Linked DNA regions of Chlamydomonas reinhardtii. The protein of the gene in region 1 interacts with the protein of each later gene in a pairwise test. Links are inferred from orthologs where the notes say so. Each region holds a gene or a part of one and is shown on either strand. Other genes may lie near its edges.

Evidence for each region.
Region 2: the proteins of CHLRE_03g164550v5 (region 1) and CHLRE_04g232602v5 interact in a two-hybrid assay, tested with the Arabidopsis thaliana proteins (2 studies listed by BioGRID). The link is inferred for Chlamydomonas reinhardtii from reciprocal best matches to the Arabidopsis thaliana genes AT5G09830 and GRXS17.
Region 3: the proteins of CHLRE_03g164550v5 (region 1) and CHLRE_07g325600v5 interact in a two-hybrid assay, tested with the Arabidopsis thaliana proteins (2 studies listed by BioGRID). The link is inferred for Chlamydomonas reinhardtii from reciprocal best matches to the Arabidopsis thaliana genes AT5G09830 and GRX4.

What each region holds. Positions count from the first base shown.
Region 1 is NC_057006.1:3,073,139-3,079,269, forward strand, and holds the end of CHLRE_03g164550v5 (uncharacterized protein), read left to right. Parts: intron 1-2,821; coding exon 2,822-2,929; 3' UTR 2,930-4,063; downstream 4,064-6,131. Other genes in the region: CHLRE_03g164600v5 (uncharacterized protein), read right to left, coding at 5,349-5,813, 6,006-6,084. UniProt on the Arabidopsis thaliana protein: May act either alone or in interaction with glutaredoxin as a redox-regulated transcriptional regulator, or as a factor regulating Fe-S cluster biogenesis. The GRXS17-BOLA2 heterodimer binds a labile, oxygen sensitive iron-sulfur cluster.
Region 2 is NC_057007.1:4,040,820-4,048,587, reverse strand, and holds the start of CHLRE_04g232602v5 (uncharacterized protein), read right to left. Parts: upstream 4,883-7,768; 5' UTR 4,666-4,882; coding exon 4,603-4,665; intron 4,389-4,602; coding exon 4,287-4,388; intron 3,976-4,286; coding exon 3,901-3,975; intron 3,669-3,900; coding exon 3,459-3,668; intron 3,177-3,458; coding exon 3,093-3,176; intron 2,815-3,092; coding exon 2,728-2,814; intron 2,254-2,727; coding exon 2,118-2,253; intron 1,941-2,117; coding exon 1,816-1,940; intron 1,432-1,815; coding exon 1,357-1,431; intron 1,083-1,356; coding exon 987-1,082; intron 703-986; coding exon 619-702; intron 231-618; coding exon 201-230; 3' UTR 1-200. Other genes in the region: CHLRE_04g232502v5 (uncharacterized protein), read left to right, coding at 5,038-5,167, 5,449-5,565, 5,800-7,768. UniProt on the Arabidopsis thaliana protein: May only reduce GSH-thiol disulfides, but not protein disulfides. Participates probably to the maturation of iron-sulfur proteins and to the regulation of the redox state of the BOLA proteins.
Region 3 is NC_057010.1:1,687,998-1,695,055, forward strand, and holds CHLRE_07g325600v5 (uncharacterized protein), read left to right. Parts: upstream 1-2,854; 5' UTR 2,855-2,941; coding exon 2,942-2,990; intron 2,991-3,076; coding exon 3,077-3,237; intron 3,238-3,391; coding exon 3,392-3,455; intron 3,456-3,585; coding exon 3,586-3,674; intron 3,675-3,882; coding exon 3,883-4,005; 3' UTR 4,006-4,476; downstream 4,477-7,058. Other genes in the region: CHLRE_07g325550v5 (uncharacterized protein), read right to left, coding at 65-586, 803-894, 1,063-1,216, 1,510-1,584, 1,917-2,067, 2,262-2,335, 2,543-2,584; CHLRE_07g325650v5 (uncharacterized protein), read left to right, coding at 4,663-4,803, 5,082-5,225, 5,348-5,468, 5,644-5,735, 5,873-5,932.

The DNA.
Region 1 (6,131 bases):
AGGGGCCTGCGGCTCTGGGGCTGGGACGGGGAGCCGTGTGGGCGGACTGGGGCAGTGGCGCTTAGCAGCCCACTTCCAGGTCAAAGGTTTACGGCAAGGGCATTCAAAGTATTACGCCGGCAGCACCTTGGCACCAGCTTGGCAAGGCCGATACGTATAGCTGCGCAAGCGTAGCTGAGGCATGGGTCCGACCGGGAAGCTTTATCACAACAGAACACACATGACAACCAGCTTCCCATCACACGACCCGCTTTTTGGCCTGGGGGAGGTGCCGGGCCCAGCCGGGGCCCACCCCCGGTCGCCTGACACCCGGCCTCTCCAGGCCATCCAATGCAATCCCAACCAGACCCGGACAGCTGCGGCGTGAAAGCGGCAATGGCGGCCGGGCGCTACGTGTCATCAGCAACCGGGTGTGGGGCGGGCGCCAGATGCCAGTGTGTGTGGGCCTTATTGCCGGGGGGACTGAAGAACAGCAAGTCAACAACCACCTGTCCCTTGCTGCCGTGACTGCCCTTGGAGTACGTGTCAGGTCCCCCCTGGCCTGAGTCTGAGATAGAGTCCCAGGCAGTCGCTCCTCGTAGTCACGCCTTGCCGCATCGTCGCACCTACTGCGTGCATGGTCTGATGCTCCAAACCACTCCCCTTCTGACATGGGTCCGAACGGGAAGCTTTATCAACTTATGAAAACGAACAGCTTCCCACTCCCACGACCCACCTTTTGGCCTCGTGGACGCTGGAGGCCAAGCGGGGCCCACCCCCGGTCACATACCCAGACTTGAGGGTCAAGACTGCCCCGCCCGTTCCCAAAATCCCAACCAACCCCACACAACTGCAGCATTTTCCAACGGCGAAGCTAGACCCGGCGTCTGACGTATAGCTAAGCTAGACCCAGCGTATGGCGAGTAGCTGGCACCCGACACGGGTAATGGAGCCGGTTGTGGCAGTGTGCGCTGCCGAGCAGTCAGCGCGGAGTGAAGGACGGAGCAAAGGCGGGTGGGGACGGCATCAGTGACCGGGGGTGGTGCGGGCGCCGGTTGCCAGTTCGTGGCAGCCTCAGTTACCGGGGAGCCTCAGCAGCTGGTCGGTGCAAGGGATGAGCAGGGGGATGGGCGTACTGCAAATAATGCCAATGCTTGCCTCCCAAACGCGACGCAGAACCCAGTACCGTAATGTTACATAAGTGCAGAGAAATGTTACGGATGCTCAGCGCGGCCTACGAGAGCTGCTGGAGGCATTGTTTGCAGCTAGTAGGCAGGGGTGGCGGGGGCACGGTGTGGGGCTGCGGGAATTGGGGTATGGGCACCGGAAATGGGGCTGCTGGGAAGGGGCGTGCGGCTCTGGGGCCGGGACGGGGAGCCGTGTAGGCGGACTGGGGCAGTGGCGCTTAGCAGCCCACTTCCACCAGGTCAAATGTTTACGGCAAGGGGTTGCCAGCAGGCCGGTGTACTTCAGGGGTGGGCCATTGGGCTGACATGGTCAGCGCCGGCGTGCCCCTCGCCGCCTCTCAAGATGGCCCAGCCGGAGCACTGCACTCGGTCCCGACGTGGGTATAACAGCCACCGCCGTGACCCGTTACACCCGGCGTAGTCACATCAGCACGCCTACCTACTGTCAGCAATCGGCATGCACTCGGACTCTAAACCACTGCTCTCCTGGCATGGGTCCGAACGGGAAGCTTTATCAACTTATCAAAACGAACAGCTGCCCACTCCCACGACCCACCTTTTGGCCTCATGGGCGTTTGGGGCCGAGTGGGGCCCACCCCCGGTCACGTGGAGACTCGGGGTTTGAGAATGGCACGCCCTGTACAGTTACAACTCGAGAGGACTGGTAATGCTGCTCCTGCGCAATGCAATGCGATGCAACTGTGCCAGTCACCTTACTGTACTATGCTTTAGCGACAAAGGCAGTGGCGTCGTGAGCCACGGCCCAGGGCGGACGGCGGAGATAAGAGTCACACGCGGTCACTCCTCGTAGCCATGCCTGACTTACCACATCTGGACAAATTGTGGACACCTACTGCGTGCATGCTCTGATGCGCTAACCGTTGCTCTTTTGTCAGGGTCCGAACGGCAAGCTTTATCAAAGTTAAAACGAGCAGCTTCCCACTCCCACGACCCGCCTTTTGGCCTCTATTGGTACTAGGGGCCAAGCGGGGCCCACCCCCGGTCACGTGGAGACTTGAGACAGACTCGCCCTGTTCAGTCGGTTGTAAGGCTACTTCTGTGACAGGCCAGTCGCGTAAATTAAGATCCGGCGGTGACTGCAACACGAGGCCCCGGTGCGACCAAGGGTGCAACACGGCGACAAGGAGGTGCGGCGTCAGCCTTTGGGCCGCCGGCGGCCAGGCTGTTGACTGGGGCCCAGCTGGAGTGGGCGGGGCGTTGGGGCCAAAGGTAACCGCGGGGAAAGGTGTAATGTGTGTGTGTGCCGCGTGGGGCCGTGGGCCATGGCAATGCCCTCACATGAGGAGGACAGGCGCGCAGCCGCGCAGCTTTCGGAACGTCATGCGTGCCGGATCACCTCAGCAACAGCTTGGCAAGGCCGATACATATTGCTGCGTAAGTGTAGCTGAGGCATGGGTCCGACCGGGAAGCTTTATCACAACTGAACACACATGAACAACCAGCTTCCCACCACACGACCCGCTTTTTGGCCTGGGGAAGGTGCCGGGGCCCAGCGAGGCCCACCCCCAGTCACACTTGGCAGCAGAGCACGCAGCTGTGCCCGCACTCCTAACAAGCCTCTCATTACCATTCCGTGCGCCGTGCATTGGTCTGATACCGTACTCAACCGCACCCCCGCTGCGGCCCCTGCACAGGTGAATGACGCCCTGAAGGCCGAGATGGCGCACATCCACGCGCTGTCGATCAAGAAGGCACAGACGCCGGCGCAGGCGGCGGCGGCGGCGGCCCCTGCCAGCAGTTGATGCGGCGGCACTGCCACGGCCATAGACGCACACCGTGTTGGCCGCTGCCTTGGCACCGGCATGGTGGCTGTGTTGAGGACGAGGGTGATCGGAACTTGGTGTGGTGTGTGCAGTGTGCCCTGACTGCGCAAGCGACATGGCGTTACGTTATAGTTTGGTGCTGCTTGGCACGGTCGAGTGGATGCCTTCGTGCCCGGCAGGCAGTATTGGGGCGGGGGCATTGCGGGTGGCGTCTTCTGTCTTGCTTCCCACTTGCCGCAAGGAGGGCCGCTGGAGCAAGGGTGTGGAGTTACGTTGGAGCAAGGGTGCGATATGACATTGTGAATCTCGTCAGACCGTCATGGGATCAGGATGCAAGAGGGATTAGGTGGAGTGATAAGTAGAATGCGTGTGATGCTGATTGCACAGGAGGGAGGAGGGGGGACGGTCGCTGGGGTGACCGGGGGTGGGCCTCGGCTGGGCCCCGGCACCTTCGCCAGGCCAAAATGCGGGTCGTGTGGTGGGAAGCTGGTTCTTCATGTGTGCTCAGTTGTGATAAAGCTTCCCGGTCGGACCCATGTCACACAAGCGCTTACGCAGCTACAGGTGGCAGCGTTGTCGTTGTGTTGCTGAGGTGATTCCGGCACGCGTGACGTTCTGAGAGCTGCGCGACTGCGCGCCTGTCCTCTTCATGTGAGGGTCACTGCCATGGCCCACGGCCCCACGCGGCACACGCACACAATACATCTTTTCCCTGGTGACCTTTGGCCCCAACGCCCCGCCCTCTCCAGCTGGGCCCCAGTCAACAGCCTGGCTGCCGGCGGCCCAAAGGCTGACGCCGCACCTCCTGGTCGCCGTGTTGCACCGGGGCCTCGTGTGGCAACCACCGCCGCCTCTGTGTGGATCGATCAGGTTACGCGGCTGGCCTTTAACAGGAGCAGCATCACAACCGCCTGAAGTCTCCACGTGACCCGGGTTGCGCTCCGCTTGGGCCTCAACGCCCGTGCGGCCAAAAGGCGGGTCGTGGGAGTGGGAAGCTGCTAGGTTTTAGTTCGATAACGCTACCCGTTCGGAGTCTGACAAAAGAGCACTGTTTTAGATTTAGAACTCCATGCGTGCAGTAGGTATGCTACTGAGCTGTAATGGCAAATAAGGCGGTGGGGACCAAGTGAGTGACCGCACGGCGCACGCACCCCACTCCCACCCCGTTCGCACAACTGCGACTGCGCGCTGAACTGGACGTTGAGAATGAGACGATAGCCGATAGCTGAGATCAGGGGTTGTGTTCCTTGCAATGGGACGGTTGAGTCTGAGACTACAGCATCCGCGGCCTTTCAGGTTCCCGCCGCAGTCCAGGCGCCGCGCCCCACCCGCATGGAGCCCAGTGCGTTGGCGACCAACTTGTGCTCCCGGTTGGAGCTTGTCAGGGGATTCGTATTCATGCCATTGCTTTACAGCGAGTTCAAAGCGTAGCCCTCGCTTCTCCTAAACATGATGCATCCCTGTCTCGAGCCTGTGGGTGCTCCGTCCCTGTCTTATTAAAGGCAACTCCTCAAACCTCCTGTCTCGTCCGCTGCCCGTTCATTAAGCATTGACTTGACAAACACTACACGCACACATACACACACATTCATCTGTCCAAGCAGACTTGTGACGGGCACTAGCGTTGACCGCGCCACGTACCAGTCCGGATTGCGGCACGTGGGTGTGAGACACGCGGCCGTGCACTGTTCGTGCGGTCTCCTGTGAACCATCCGCCGTCAGCTAATATAGCTGCCGACTGCCCTATCGAGTGATCACACGGCCTCGCGCTTAAGGCATAATACGCACACGCGTTTCCAACTGCCTCGCGGGCCACACCATCATCAAACACGTCAGTATTGCGTCGGAGGGGGCGCCACAGCAAGCTCCCCAAACAATCACAGGTCACACTGCGGTTTGTGTCTTTTCCTAGGTTTCATGGGCGACATACATACTCACAAAATCACTGGTCATTGAAGGAACACGTCCAACCCCGTTTGCTGTCGATTGCGTACGCTCAGGTATTCATCGAGCCTATTTCACCCTGACCGCCGAGGTGAACGCATCGTCACTCAAACCGTCCCCCCAAGGCCTTTCATCACACGCATGCAAGTTGGTTAAAACCTCCAGTCGCAAAGTTTGTAGGCAACAGCCAGACCCCGGCATGCAGTAAGAACCGGACACGTTGGAAGGGCGGCGCTTGCTCATGCGAGCAAAAGTATACTAGTAAGCAAACCGTCTCCACTCCGCTCCAGAGGTGCGATGTAGGAACATAAGTGTTGCGCAACCCCTTTCCGGGCTACGTTTACTCCCCCCCCCCCAGCACGATACACGCGCACAACAAGCCCTGTCCTCGCCGCGGCGCGCCAGCAAGCCGCTAGCATACCCGCCGCAGCAGAGCCGCTCCTGCTGCCGCCGCTTACATGTGCCGCTTCGAGGAAATCTTTGCCAGCGTCTGCTCGGGGTTGGCTCCCCCGAGCGCGGCCGCCGTGTTGGCAGCCAGCTTCTCCGCGGCCTCCCGCACGCCCTCGATGGCGGGCGCAATCTCCTGCTGCACCTTGGGGTCCAGCTCGCCCCGCGCCTCGTCCAGGTGCAACAGCACGTTCTCCACCGTCTGCGCGGCGCCTTCCACGTCCGCACCCTTGGGGTTGCCCGAGTGGCGCGCCATACCCGCCTGCTTGAGGTTGGCGGACACGCGGCCCAGGTTGGCCGAGGCGCGGCCCAGGTTGGTGGCCTGGTCGTGCTTGATGGCGGCGTTGACCTTGGCCTGCGCCTCCTCCACCTTGGCGGCCAGCAGCTTGCCCTCCACCAGGCCCACCGAGCCGCGGGCAAGGGGGTCGTGCCTGTCGTCCACCTTGTTGGCGTCACGTTTGTTGATGGCCATCTGCAGGATAGCAACAAATAAGGAAAGGGAAGGGAAGATTAGAGGCGGAGTCCCGCTCGGTGCGGCGTGAAGGATACGGGTGTGCGGCAGCCCCACCAATTGCTGTTTATTACGGGGAGATGAAATTGCGCGCGCAGCCCAAAAGCACACTGCCGTTTTTGTTGTCCCTCCAGACCCAGTTGCTGCGCTTACCGAGGTGTTGATGTCGAACCAGTTGTAGCGGTGCATCATCCAGTAGGCGGCCACCTTCATGAAGTCCTGAACGAACCACCTGTTCACAGAATCACAGCAGGTCGCAAAGTCAGGGTCGCCAGGCCA
Region 2 (7,768 bases), on another chromosome or scaffold:
GTGCGCTTTGGCGCGAACATGTTTCTAAAATCTGCCTTAACACGCCCGCTTTATCATAACACCACACTGTGAGCGTGCCTATAATGCACTGGTATATATGAATAGCAGATGCAACGCTGGTCGACCCAGCATGGACAAGATGATCAGCCACTCATGAATCTATGTAACCGAAGTGCCGTATAGTCCGCGCGCACACCGCCTCACGCCACATCCATGCGGTGAAGCATCTCCTGCAGGGGCAACGGAGGTGGGGTGCGCGATGGGGGTGGCGGCGAGGGGAGTCATCAATGCGTGTGCGTGTGTTGGAAAGCACGTGGAATGGGCGCACGCAGGATGCGCGTGTGTGCACATGTGGATACATGCGAGCTTGGGCTGTTGGGAGTGTCTTCGTGCCAACGCCAAAGCGGTTCAATATGCAAGTTTTCATGCTTCGTCCATTACACGACTGCAACCGTGAACAACACCCAATGTGATGGCATCAGAAGCGTTGAGCAGCCCCGTCGACAAGCCGCTGACTGTGACCTTTCCCCGCCTCTGAACATGCTGCCTCCTCCCTGACGCCACACCTGCACACCGCATCGTCTCCCCCCTGGTCCCCCCCCACACCCCACCTCTCACCTGCACTGTGCTGCCCAGCTCCCCCGCCGCCTTCATCTCCAGCACTATGTCACAGCCGCCCAGCAGCTCCCCACGCACATACAGCTGGGGGGTGGGGGTCCCAATAATCCCAACAAGAAAGCAGGAAGGTCATGTGTCAGGACACGCACGGGGAGAGTAGGTAGGGGCGGACGGGGCAAGAGGTGCAGGGGTTTCTGGAGGCACGGCGGCTCGCGCGTACGACAGGTACCTGCAGCCCCGTGGTACCGTACACCCCAGCGCCAGGCCCCGACCGCGGTCCACCAGCCTTTGGCCCACATCGGTTTCCCCAACGGTTCGGTCCGCAACAATTAATCCTACCACCGTCCCCACCCATCCCCCAAACCTACCTGCGGGTACGTGGGCCAGTTGCTGTACTCCTTGAGCCCCTGGCGCACCGCCTCGTCAGACAGGATGTCGAAGGCCCCGAAATCCACCGCCTCAGACTGCGGCGGGGCGGGGCGTTAGGGGGAGACATCATGATACTGCACAAACGATTTGGTGCTTGCGGTACACTGGTAAGCACCGAAAGTTACACCCGCGGTCACACACTCGGCGCCCAGAGCCCCAGCCCCCAGCCCCAGGCCACGTGAGGGCTCTAGCCTGCACTAGGCTGCACGTGCACACCAGCCCACCTGCGCGCCCTGTCCATCCCCCCGCTCGTTTTAGTTGGTTTTGGTTTAGTTTGGGCTGGTATTTACAACCCCCACCGCCCCCCACCTGCAGCGCCTCCACCACCTTCCTGCTGAAGCCGCAGCGGGGCTGCTCCGGACTGCCCTTCATGAACAGCATCACCTGGAGGAGGCGGCAAGGGGAGGGGCAGGGGGGCGGGGGGGGGGGGGGCGGGCGGGCGGGAGGGCGGCAGGGCGGGCGGGCGGGAGGAGGGGTTGGCAGACGTGTAGAGTGAAGTGCATGGGTCGGCGAGGAGGGCAGGGGTACGCAGTGAATACGGCAGTGTGTCGGCCGCCCCTCTGTCGCCTTCAGCCCCTAAGCAAACCAAGCAAGCCAATACCTGCAGTGCACCAGCTGTGCCTACTCAGCACCGCACCCCACAGCCCAAAGGCCCCAACGCCCCTTGGTTTTCTCCTCCTCCTCCCAACCCTCCCACCCCCAGCCCCCAGGTCGGGGTTGAGTTGGGTTTGTCGTAATCTAACCCTCCTCCCCAGCCGCTTCACTCACGGGCTTGGGTCCGGCCAGCAGCGCCTTGATGCGCTCCTGCACCGCACCCGCGTCCTCAGAGGAGGGGGCAGCGGCAGAGGGCGCGGCAGCAGCGGGGGCTGCAGCAGCGGGGGCTGCGGAGGACCCTGCGAGCATCAGGCGCGGCATCCCGTCCGGGCCACCACATGGTTTACCACTGGCAGTGGACCACAGGTCCTGCAGCTGGCTTCACGACAGCGAATAGCGCAAACCCGCGTCCATTCACCCACCCAGTCACCCACCCCGCTCCCCAGCCAACCCGCCCTACCCCTGTCCACCCCCACCTGCAGCCACGGCCGCCGCCGCCACCGCCTGGAAGTCCCGCCCCAGCTTGTCCCGCAGCAGCGCCTCCAGCTCGCCCGACCCCGCCATCTCCAGCACGATGTCGCAGCCGCCCACCAGCTCCCCCTTCACGTACAGCTGCGGGCCGGTAGCGCGTGGAGGTGGTGGAGGTGGCGGTTGTGGTTGTGGTGGTTGTGGTGGTTGTGGTGGTGGAGGGGTTGCGGTGGTGGTGGTGGTGGTGGTGGTGGAGGGGTTGCGGTGTTGGGTTAGGTGGGGGTTAGGGTGGTGTGGCGTAGGTAGGAGTGGGCAAGGGCGGAAGCGGCTGGCGTGGTTGAAAGGCGATTCCCGGTGTACCTTGAGCGTGACGCGGTGGGTGGGTGACCGCACAAGGACTGGAACTCGTCCGTCAACTTCCCCCCCGGTTATATTGCTTGCTCGTGAAACCACGGCATCCTCCCCCCCATGCTCCATATCCCCTCCGCGCATGCAGGTCGTGATGCTGAGCTCCCAAGGGTCCTCGGTTAGGTCCGGGCCTAGGCCCCCTTGCTTTCCCGCGCGCACGGCCAGAACAAACACCTCACCCCGCGCCCCTACAAACACACACACACACACCTGCGGGTATGTGGGCCAGTTGCTGTACTCCTTGAGCCCCTGGCGCACCGCCTCGTCAGACAGGATGTCCACCGACTTGAACGCCACCTGCAGGGGGGGAGGCGAGCGACACCACCAGGCGAGCGCGGCACGTGTTCACCACTGTGGCGTGATGGCCTTCAGGCAGCTGCCCCCGCGGCCCTACCACAGCACGTCCCCACGCGCTCCATCCCTATACCGTCTTCCCAAGCCACCCTCGTGATATCAACCAACAGCGCAAGCACCCCTACACCACCTACCACCACCTGCCCGCCCCTCCCCACCAGCACCCCACCCAGCACCCTCCACGCACACACACACACACGCGCACACCCTCATGCGCTCACCCCCAGCTTCTGCAGTGCCGCCACCACCTTGCTGCTGAAGCCGCAGCGGGGTGCCTCGCCCGAGCCCTTCATGAACAAGACCACCTGGGCAGGGAGGGGGGGGGGTCCAGGCATGACTCGTTAGGAGAAGGTGGGCGGAGGCATGGGGTCGTGATGAGACCTCGTGGGGCAGTTCAGAGGCACGGGGGAACCACCAAGCTGCACCGCGGTCGGGGCGGGGTGGCGGTGAAGCGCCGCCTGAGGCCGGACACGCGCCCGGGGACTCCCGTGCAGCGCCGCTGACCATCCTCCCTCCATCCCCATCCCCATCCTCCAGCCCATCTGCCCAGTACTCCCTCCTTCCCCTCCTCCCTCCCTTCCGCTCACCGGCCAGTTGCTGAGCAGGAAGGAGATGCGCCCGAACACAGCCGCCTTGTCTTCGGGGGCGGCGGCACCAGCACCGGCACCAGCGGCAGGCGTGGCGCCAGGCGCGGGTGCGGAGGTGGTGGCTGCCTGGCCCCCCCGTGCCAGTGCTGTGGCCTTGGCGGTGAGTGCGGGCGGGTCGGCCCCCTCTAGCCGGTCCACCACCGCACCAGACTGCAGGGGGGCGGGCCGGGGGGCCGGGGGGCCGGGGGGGGGGGGCGGCTGTCAGCCGGCGGTGCTGTCGCTTGTGCCCCTCGTCCCGTGCTGGCCATTGCCCCACCTGACTTGGAGGCCCCCTGGCCCATCCCTTGCGGCGCACCCGCGAACTAGGCTGCGTCCTAGCATCCTCCACATCCATCCAGCCCTCCCCTCTCCGCCCCTCCTCCCCCTCCACTCCCTCGCTGACCTTGAGGAACACAAAGTACGGCACGGTGGTGACGTCGTACTGCAGCGTCACGTCATCCACCACCTCAGCTTCCACCTGTGGGGATAATGTTTGTTTGTGTCAGGGGCAGGGTGGGTAAGCGGCCCAATCATGCGTGTAGGAGCGACTTGACGGTAAGGAGGTAGCGCTGTTACGTGTGTGGCGCTGGCCGCAAAGTCTGATTGCGCTCACCCGTCGCTCCCAACTACTCGCGCCGACGATGGGCCCGACATCTTCGTCCCCCCGCCCACCTTGCACCGTAACCCGCAACCAGCTCCATCGCCCCGCCGCCGGCGCACAACACGCCGCAGTGCGCCCTGGCTACTACGGCCGCACCCCTTCCCCAATCGCCCTCGCGCCGGCCTCACCCTCAAGCAGGCCAGTCCGGGCAGGTCTGCTGCGAGCTGCCCCAGCACTGCGTCCATGTGCTTGCAGGGCTCGCACCAGCTGGCCCAGAAGTACAGCACCGCCTGCGAGCCGCAGGAAGCAGGGGGGGGGGGGGGCGGGCGAACAGCAGGCAGCAACGTTGGCAAGGTGGAGAAGGGAGCCGCAGTGTCATTCCACATGAATGTCATCTTATCATTCTTCTTGTGCTGACATGACACGCGCGCGAAGCTCGTGGTAGAAGCTTCTGGCCGTCGCAACAACTCGTGGAAAGAATCTGCAGCGACGCAGCGTACGCACCGGCTTGCCCGAGCTCGCCACCGCCGCCACGTCTGCCGCAGACTTCACATCTTGAAGCGGCATATTTATGAGTTAGTAAGGACCTAAAACCACGGGAGGGGCGATCTGCGTTGATTCGCGCCGAAACAATACTTGACACAACTGTATAAATTCGATGTAGTTTGAGCACTCATTTAACAAGTGAAGGGGCGTGGTAAAGCTTCCTCCGGCGTGTGTCTGGCAGCGCTGCAAGGTCCCATGAGAAAATGGAATCAAAACTCAGAGAGCGAGCTTCCACAAACTTGTATCAATTGTCTATGCCTTAACAAGGTAGCATCCCTGTGAACCATACTACCCCGCGCATTCAAGGGAAAGCTGCTCCAGGCCTGTATGACAGGTCAAACCCGTGTTGTCGGCGTATGTTTGCGGCTATGATGAACATTTAGCATTCTGTAAATGGCGGCTGGGCCTTCAGCAGGCGTAGTTTCGCTGCTGCTCGGCGCAGGCCTCCTGCTGCTCTCCAGCTGCGCCGGCAAATATGTGCTGGGAAATGCACTTGGACAGCCATGGTGTGAAGCGTTTACAGGTAAGAACGGTGAAAGAAGCGAGGGGCGTCGGACTGGCGTGTGTGTGGGGGCAGCTCAGCTCCAGTTCCTTGAACGGGGCTGCGCTTTCTACACGGCTGCCCCCAATGCACACGTGACAATGCTTTGCGTGTTTTTCGTTTTACGGGCTGCTGGAATGCGCGGGAACGTGGGGTTTTGGGAGGCTCGGAAATGTGGACCCCGCGAAGCGGCACAGGCCGTCTGCGGCCAGCGAGCCCTTCAATCCTGTGGAAACTCAAAAAATACGAGCTTGTATCTGCAGCGGCGGCGCTGCTGTTCATCCTGCGTTGTGGAGGCCAGCGGAGCTCCGGCGGGACCTGCAACATCTCTTCCTCCGCTGGGCCCTCTTCGTCCGAGGTTCTGCTTGGCACGGCGCTGGGTGAGCGAGGTTTCCGTAGCAGCTTCTTCCTCGATCATCAACGGATGCAAGTAGTGCAGTACTACGGAAGCTCGTCGCACGAACTCGGGTTTGGGTTCTACGGAGGCCTGCTTTGCGGTCACAACAATGGTCTGTTTCCCGGCGCCTGGCACCGCGGCTTGCCTCAATCTTTCGTGCCCTGCTCTCGCTCTTAATCTCATGGACCTCACTTCGTGCGCCTGCTGCTCACCGCAGGCTGCCTGCTGGGCGGGGTCAGTGCGTACACGGGCGCCTGGACCACGCTGCTGGCGCTGGTGGCTGCGGCGGCAGTGCTCATTCATGCGCCGCCCTGCCCCCAGCGCTCAGCAGCCGCCCCCATAAGCCCCGGCCGCAGCCCCAAGGGCGGTGCGGGCACCCCCAAAGGTGGCCACTCAGCGTCCTCCGCTGCTGTTTCCTCCGATGCCTTACCCCCCGGCTGCGGCTCCGTGCCCAGTCTGGGTTTCTGGCAGCTGCTGCTGGCCGCGCTGTTCTTCACTGCACGAGCCGCCACTGCATCGGGAGCCGGGCTGGCGGGCTGCGCGGCGGCGGCCGCCAGCCACCTGGTGGCGCTGGTGGCGGCGGCGGAGCTGCTGGTGGCGCTGGCGCCGCCTGGCAGGACCAGCCCCACCGCTGGGAGCACAGGCAGTGGCGGCGCCGCTGCGGAGTTGGGTGGCGCCGTGGGCTCGGTGGCGGGGACGCCACGGCTGCACCGAAGCAGCTCGGGCGCGACCAGCCCCGTGTTCGGGGGCACGGTGCAGGCACACTTGAAGGAGCTGGGGCCGGGGCTGGCCTCGCCCTATTACTCCCTGAAGCGCAGTGCCAGCACCGGCGCCGCCTTCATGCTGGCAGGGGCGGGGGGGCAGCCATCCGCAGCGGCCACCGCAGCAGCAGCAGCAGCAGCCTTCGTGGCCGGGCCAGGCGACGGCAGCGGGCGGTCGGCTGCGCATGCCCTGCTGCCACTGCTGCCGCAGGTGAGCGAGGGCGACGACCTGCCGCAGGACGCCGCGTGTATCGTGGGCGTGGGGGCAGGGCAGGGATCTGGCCTGGGGGCGTCCAGTCACAACGTGCATCTACAGCACCAGCTGCAGCAGCGCCAGGGTCAGGGTCAGGGCCTGCAGCGCTCCGGGTCGACGGCCGACGCGGCTCTGGCCGGCACCACAGCAGGGCGGTGCAGCAGCATGCCGCACACGAAGGCGCGAGGGGCGCAGGAAGGTGCCGTGGACAGCCCCTGGCGCCGAGCGCAGTCGGCGCGGGTGTATGCTGGAGGCGCGCCGGACGGTGCTTCGGCACCTGTGCCTGCAGGCGCGGGCGCCGCCGCCTCGCCGGCACCAGGGCGCTCCCAGCCTCCGCAGGGGGCGGTGTCGCCGCTGCTGGGTCCGGTGGGCTTGGTGGATGGCGGCGGGGTGCGGGCCGGAGACTCGGCCGGGGCGCACATGTACCCGGGGGTGGCGGGCACTGCGGCTGTAGCAGCAGGCGGCACAGCGCCTGCCGCGGCTGGCGGCTCTCGCCGCACCCCGGCCGGCCTGCATTGCTGCAGCAGCCTCAACACCGACCCCGGCATGACCGACTGTGGAGCAGGGGCGGGCGGGCGCGGTGCTGCCCCTGCCCTTGCCCTGACCGTGGGCTCTCTGTCCGGCCCACACGACATGTCCGGGAGCGGCCTGCACGCGCTGGAGGCCGGGGTGGGGCCGGGTGTGGCGGCGGCCGCCAGTGCCGGCCTGCCGGGATGTCAGCCAGGGTCGCCTCACAACTACGTAGGCGTCGAAGCTGCAGGCGCACGTGCGGACACAGAGGCAGCGGCACGCAGAGTTGGCGGCACGAGTCAGCAGCCGCGGCCGGCGGCGGGCGCACCGCTGGTCCCCGTGTCCGAGCTGCTGCCCGAGGGCCGCGGCACGGGGGCTGCTGGCGGCGGCTCCCGCTACGGCCACGGACACGGCCGGGATGACTCGGGGTCGGGGTCGGGGTCGGGCAGCTGCAGTGACGGCGGCAGTGAGGGCAGCGAGGAGGAGGACGAGGGCGAGTACGCGGGCGGGCGCTGGGGCCAGGGCGGGGCCGGCGGCCGCGCAGTGGAGGCCAGTGATGACGACTGCTTCTCATTGGCGCTGGATGGAGTCGGTGCCGGGGGTGGAGGCGGAGGTCCTGGATGGGCCGAGGGGCAGCTGGGCAACGGGGAGCAGGCGCCATG
Region 3 (7,058 bases), on another chromosome or scaffold:
GCACGTACATGGAGCACGACTCGCCCTCCAACCCAAGCAACAGCGAATCCCAGCGCTGACTCACCCCCATGACGCCGATGCCCGCCTCGTCCTCGGCGCTGGTGCTCATCCCGCCCGACACGATGGTGGGCGGCAGCGAGGTGCCCGCCTGCGCCGCGCCCGTGTGCAGCGACATGTTGGTGGCGGTGGTGAAGGTGGTTGCGGCGCTGCCCACGCTGCTGGTCGCGATGTTCTGCAGCGGCGTGGCGCTGCCCATGGTGGCAGCGACGCTGGCGGCGACGGAGCGGTCGCCGGCGGCAACCACGAGCGAGTCGCGAGCGGCCTGCACCGCGGGGTGTAGGCCCGAGCTCTGGCCGCGGCCGAGCGTGCCGGTGGCGGCGCTGGCAACGGAGCCGGCCGCGGCGGTGCCGGAGGGCCGCGGCGGCGGCGTCATGAGGCCTGACGCGGCCGCGGCGGCGGCGGGCGGCAGCGCCGGGGGCAGGGGCGGGGAGAGCGAGTGCGGCATGCTGTTGCCGAACATGTGTTTGTGGGGCGTGGTGACAGTGATGTTCCAGCAGTCCAGCTTGTCCTCGCGCGCCACAGCAACCTGGGGGCGAAAGCGACAGAGGAGACCAGAACGTGGCGCCAGGGTGGCGCGAAACAATGTGCGGTATTGCGCAACATGCATGAAGATTCATGCCCCCCGCAGTAAGACGCCCTTGGGTTGCGCAGACCAATCAATTCGGGGCATGTCCACTTGTCCAGCCGTGGCGGTGGCGGATGCGGTAATACCAGCCGGCGACGGGGCGCCACAGAAACTCACCGAGTTGAGGGTCTTGTACGTTTTCTTGTGCCCCTTCATACACGTGGGGTCATAGGCGGGACCCCACATGAAGGTGCGCGACAGGTCGTTGCCTGGAGAGGAGAGGAAAGGCGGCCGTCAACACATGCTTGACCGTGCGCGATGTTATAAGTGCACGACAAAAAGTCGGCACATGAACGGTGCCTGACCAAACATGACTGTAACATCGCCACCCGCCCTTTCCTCATCCGTGCGGTTCAGACGCCACCTTAATTACTCACCCGTGCCGAGCGGGATCATGGCGACGGGTGGCTCCGGCTGCAACCGGAGCTTCTTGATGACGCCCATCACCCAAGCAATGGTGCCATCGCCGCCGCACACCAGCAACCGCAGCCGCTGCCTCACCAGAGTCGCCTGTGAATCGCCCGCAGCTTCCTGCGGGTTCCCACGCAAGGGCTGTGTGTCAGGGGCGGCAATGCATCCTACGCAGCGTCCCTTCGGTCACAGCAGCCATGCACGTAGGTTTTCGGTGCCTGTGCACCAGCTTACCTGCGCATGACTTGAACCCCACCTCAGCCGCCGCAAGGCCTACCTTGCCCCACTCCGCCCAGCTGCCGTGCCCTCTCTCAGCTGATACGCCATGCTGAGCCAGCATCATAGGAGCGCCCGCTACCACCGCCCAGTGATCCAACAGCAACCCAGGACCACGGCGCTGCCCCCAGCCTCACCCGCGTCCTGAGCACCTCATACAGACGGCCCAACACCCGGTCCGGCCGCTGGTCCTTCTCAGCGATGTCAAACACCTGTGGCGCAGCGAGATAGCGGTGGCGGGCAGTAACAGTTTGGGAAAAGGACCGCAGGGCACTTAACATTGTGTAGGGGCGCGCGCTTACACGGCGGGGCGCGGAACCAAAATTCGAGGCAGGTGGGAGGTGCTCCTTTACTCCGCAGCCTTTCTAGAGCAGGCCGACAATCAGCGTGGCCCTGAACCGGTGTGCGCCCTTGCCACCGCGTTATCCATGAGTGGTCCGTCCAACTCGCCGTCCACCCGTTGCCACAAGCACACGCACGCGCATCTACCAGAAGACAATCAGGCTGAAACTGCTGTGCCAACGCGCGTTTCCCCAGTCCTCACCTGCACACGGCCGATAGCTCGGCTCAGCGCCAGCGCTAGCTCCATGCCCTTCCGCCCACCCGAGCGCGCGTTCACAAAGCACAGTAGCGGGCATTCGTGGATGGCGTCCACGGCATCCGGGCGAATGTGCTCCAGCAGCGCGGTTGGCACACTGTCATGCAGCAGACAGCAATGGGCATGACAATTCAACGCGGTCGATGCCCGGCGCACGCAGCACCCGCGTGCTGGCCAGTACGAGTGGTGCCCGGCCCTTCTTGCCTTCCCTGTTGCTGTGTCTGTTCCCTGAGCTGCCCCTGTTGCTGTCCCTGTTCCCTGAGCTGCCCCTGCCCTGCTCCTAGCTCATACTTGTAAGGCGCTCGAAGCGTGTCGGCAGCACGCCAGTGCTCGTACGCACGGGTATCCAGGGGCGCCGCTTGCACCTGGCACGGATTGGCGAACATGCACCGTCCGGTTACCCGCTGACAGCGCCTGGCTGAGCGCCTGGTTCTCGTTCCCGCCTAGGCGCGCCGCGCCGCGCGGTGCCAGCCGCTCCGTACCGCATATCCCCCAGAGGCTTCCACAAGCCCAGCGTATGTGCAGGCTCAGGCACATTCGCTAATAAAACAGAAGCAGAAACTGCGGCCCACCTCGGCGGGTGTCGACATTGCGCTGCGCAGTCGTTCTGCCATATTACCCGGTATCTGTTGGAAAGAGCTTTAGATGGAACAAGAAAGATGTGCAGCAAAGTCACAGCGCGATTCTGTGCAACACTCTGCCGGGTCAAAGGCGTTCGCCAGCCCTGGTCCTGTTATCACAGCATATCGTCGGGTAACAGCTTATGTGCTTGAAGGTATTAGATACGGAGTCCGTTCAGACACGGGAACCTGGAAAATCACTGCCAAACTTGCATGATGAGGATGGGCATTCTTGACAGCCCCTCAAAGCTTTCCAAGTTCTTACCGACTACAGTCCTACAAACCAAGCTAGCAACATTAGCAACGGTATTAAAGCAGCAAAGCCTTCCTCTTCGCTGGAATTGTGAGAAAATGCTGGCTCGCGTTGCTATCGGCTCGCTTTCGAAAGCACGGCAAGCAGGTACTAATATCAATGTCATATTAGCTCCATTATGCTGGTTAAATGAAAAGAACGATTTGGGGAATGACCCACGCGTTGCACTGCAGCTGCGTTCTCCCCGTCGGCGGTGCTACAACGATGCCTTGCGACCGATGCCGACTCGCATGATGACTTTAAGCCCAAGCATGCGGCCCCCGCCACGTCCGCGAGCGTGGACGACCAAATTAAGGCTTCCATCGCCAAGGACAAGGTCCACGTCTTTATGAAGGCACGTCCTAGCGGCCCAATTTCCCCCACTCTGCCGAGTAAAGCCAGGGGATTGTAGAGGGGTGCGCATCCAATGCAAGGATGGCAAGGGGGAAAGCGCCGGCCTAACCACGCCCGTTCCGCTGGCCGCTGCTACTGCTTCCTATCCACTGCAGGGCACCCCCGATTCTCCCCAATGCGGCTTCAGCCGCATGGCCTGCGTCGTCCTGAACGCATATGGTACGTGTGCACCAATTGTCAGACGCTCCATTGGCTTGTTGCGCTGCAGTGGCATGTACTGTTGACGCCGGTGCTACCGTACTTCGGCACCGACGGAAGATGGTTGAATCGCATGCTCTTCGCTTCGCAGGTGTTCAGTTCGGCGCCACCAATGTGCTGTCGGACGCGGAGGTGCGGGAGGGTATTAAGAAGTTCACCAGCTGGCCCACAATTCCTCAGGTGCGTAGGGGTGCGCTTGCCCCGCTCTGCAATCAGTACGACACTGCGCCATACTGCATGCCTGTTTCCAATACCTTGCAGCTCCTGGCTTGGATTGGTTGGTGGACACGTTTCGGGAGCTTGGATGCAGCAGGGTTTTGCCGGGGCCGCAGAACGCAAAGCATCCCAGTGCACGCAAAACACACGTTATCAACCGACGATGCCACAGGTCTTTGTCAACGGCGAGTTCATCGGCGGGTGCGACATCCTCATGGGCATGCACGACAAGAACGAGCTGGAGCCGCTGCTCGAGCCCATTCGCAAGGAACAGGCGGCCGCGGCTAAGAAGTAATGGAGATGCAGGGGCTGATGGAAACATGCGGAGCTGGGGAGCAGACTGAGATTTCATGGAGGAGGGAGGAGTCCTGGATGGGTGATGGATGGACGCGGCTGAGAGGCAGAGCTTATATTGCGGTGTTTCTCTTGGAGTGGCTTAGCTTGGTGGGTAAGCATGCGTCAACATCGCTTGGAGCAGCGGCAACGGTCAGCGTCCAACGTCGCAGGGGGCGTCGGGTGGTCATGGGAGCTCACGGGGTGTCACTGTTGCCAACAGGGTGGAATGAAGTGTTAAAAGGGCCGGTGCGCAACACGGACATTTTCGTCATTTGGAGGGCTCTACTTGTCGTGATGGAGGAACCTGCAGAGTGAGATGTGGGAAGGGGGCCTACTTCATTTAGGTTGTTGCTGGGTGGGGGGGGGGGGGTCGGGTGGCGGTTGTGGGGCCTGGTGAACGTGTGGGTTCATGCTCGTCGATGAACCGAACGGTAGCTGACCCGCAAACTCATTGACAACCGCGATGCTTGTAGATATACAAACTCTGTAGGTCAATTGAATGAGTACAAAGGCCAGCAATTGGGCCGCTAGCACACGCATGCTCCATCGACAAAGCTGATAATTGCCTTCGACCTGAGGAGCCCAACCTTAAAACTCCAGAGACCTGTCAACACAAATGGGCCAAGGCGACGCACCGCCAGCTGCCGCTGCAGCAATGCATAGTTACGCGCAGACGTTGCCAGGCCCGTCGCAGCCGAGCTACGGAGCCTATCCACCTGGCGCATACCCTCAAGGATACCCAGGGTATCCACCACCTGTGAGTGCAGCGTCGACTTCGTATCGGGCGTTGGGAAAGTTGGTTGACAAGGGCCTTCAGCAGCTAGCGCGGTTCCTCTCATGTTGGCGTCGTGCGAGCGATTGTGCTGTAGGGATGGTTTCTGCCAAGGGTAGCCGGGGTCTGCCAGTGGGTGCGGGTGCCGTAGCCGGTGGGCCCCGGCACAGGGGCACGGCAGGGCAGACGGCACTCGGCTTGGGTTTTTTTGTTCGCTTTAATATCACCACGGGCTGCAACGGGCTCTCTTTCCCCCGCCGTAGGCTCCTCCTGGCAGCTACGCGCCTGCACAAGGACCGTATGCTCCCCCTGGCCCGCCCTACGGCCCGTCTGGGTATCTGTATCCCGCGCCGGGCCAACCTGTCATGGCAGCACATGTGCCCTACCCGCCTGGCACCATGATGATGGCAAGTCCATGTACCTGAGGCCGTGCGCCAGGGCCGGTCGGGGTTGGCGTTAGAGTTCTAGAAGGGGAAGCAGGACTGCAGTTCCGTGTTTGTGAAGGCTGATGTGTACGCGCGCCCTTCAGGTCGCCGTGACGGCACCTGCGGGCCCCGTGTCGCTGCCATCATACTGGCCGCCCTACCCCATTGAGGTCACGTGCCCGGGCTGTCGGGAGAAGGTCCAGTCGGTGGCAATCAGGGCGCCAGGTGCGAGCGGGAGGGGCAAGCCGAGTGCGCGGCGCGCTCCACGTTTAATGGCTGTGCACTGTTGTAAATGGTGCCTAGGGGATGCAGGCGGTTGTGCATTACCTGTGCACGCTCAGCTGCCGTCTTGAAACCGCCTGCACTGTGCGGTTTAACACCTTGCCTGCTGCCCGCTCAGGTCTGGGCACGTGGCTAATTGCGGGCGGCATCTGCTTGGTGGGCTGCGGTTTCGGATGCTGCCTTATCCCATTCTGCGTTGACAGCTGCAAGGTACGTTGTCGCTGACAGTTTCGACCGGAGGTCATGCTGCGCACCCATTAGGCTGACACGCAGCGGGACCTAGCTGCTCGCCTTGCCCGTCTTGGCTTCGAACGTATAACATGGCCATGCCCGCGGCCCGCCTGCAGGATTGCACGCACTCGTGTCCCAAGTGCAACCGGTTCCTGGGGCAGCACAAGATGGTGTAGATGGGCACGATGGGCTGATTGCGGGCGGCATCTGCTTGGTGGGCGGCCCAGACAGGGCGGCCACCTTTCGGGCGTGGGCTCATCAAGGCCGAGCGCAATCCAGCGAGCGATGAGTTGGCGCTCTGTTTGCGGAGGCAAAGGTGGGTTGTGTAGGTTGTTGGTGACGTCAGTGGGGGAGGAATTTGGGGCACGTTTCTGATGTTCGTACTGTGCGGTATGTGCCAGCCGTACAGTACACATAATAGCTTTGACATGATGTTGTTTGGCACTTGTTAAGCGTAGTCGTTTCATATGTCCCCTTGTTCTTCATGAATGGGACATTACAAGAAGGGGCACCGCACCCATTCCTTATGGCGCGTGCGTGGATGCAACACCAGAGCGTGCAGTCTGGTACAAGGACGGAGGCACGCATGGCGTGGCGTGTACCGGTATTGATAGCTGCTTTTTTGGCTCCGGAGCCCCGTCCTAAGACGAGCGCGCAAGTGCCCAGCTGGCTGAGCGCCCTCTCGCGCCGTAAGAGCGACAGCTCTGAGGGGTCCCATGGGGTGCGCTTGTCGGGCGCCGGGCTTCGGCACCATCCTTCTGCCAAGAACTCGACTATGCGCGGTAATTCGCAATCTCCAGACGCGTCGAATGAAATCCCGTTTCCTTGCATCCTGCGCAAAGATGGTGTTGTTGTACATGTAGTTGGTGTGCGATGAGATAGTGTTAAGGCAGGTTGGCGAAGTCCCGTAGGATGCAGCTAATGCCCAGACCCCAGCAGATGGCAAACAGTTTGCGCTGGTCGAATACCGGAGCTACTGTACCAACAAGTTGCTGGCTGGCTGGAAGTGCGGTGTGCGGTTTAAAATGAGGCACGCGCCGTGTCGCCGCCCCCCTGGCCCAGGCCTGGAGGCGCCCGTGTGGTGCCCTTTCAAAGCTCACCGAATCGAGCAGCGCCGGCCAGAGCCTATGGAACTTATGGATGCGGATTACAAGTAAGGGACAGCCCGACAAGCAGGGGCACGCGCACGCCATACCCACGCCGCGAGGGGCCATGCGACCCAAAGAGACAACACCCGCCCCCTGGTTGGCTGCCGACCTTCATAGTGTTACGCACATGAGTCGAAGCCAAGCCGAAGCCCGC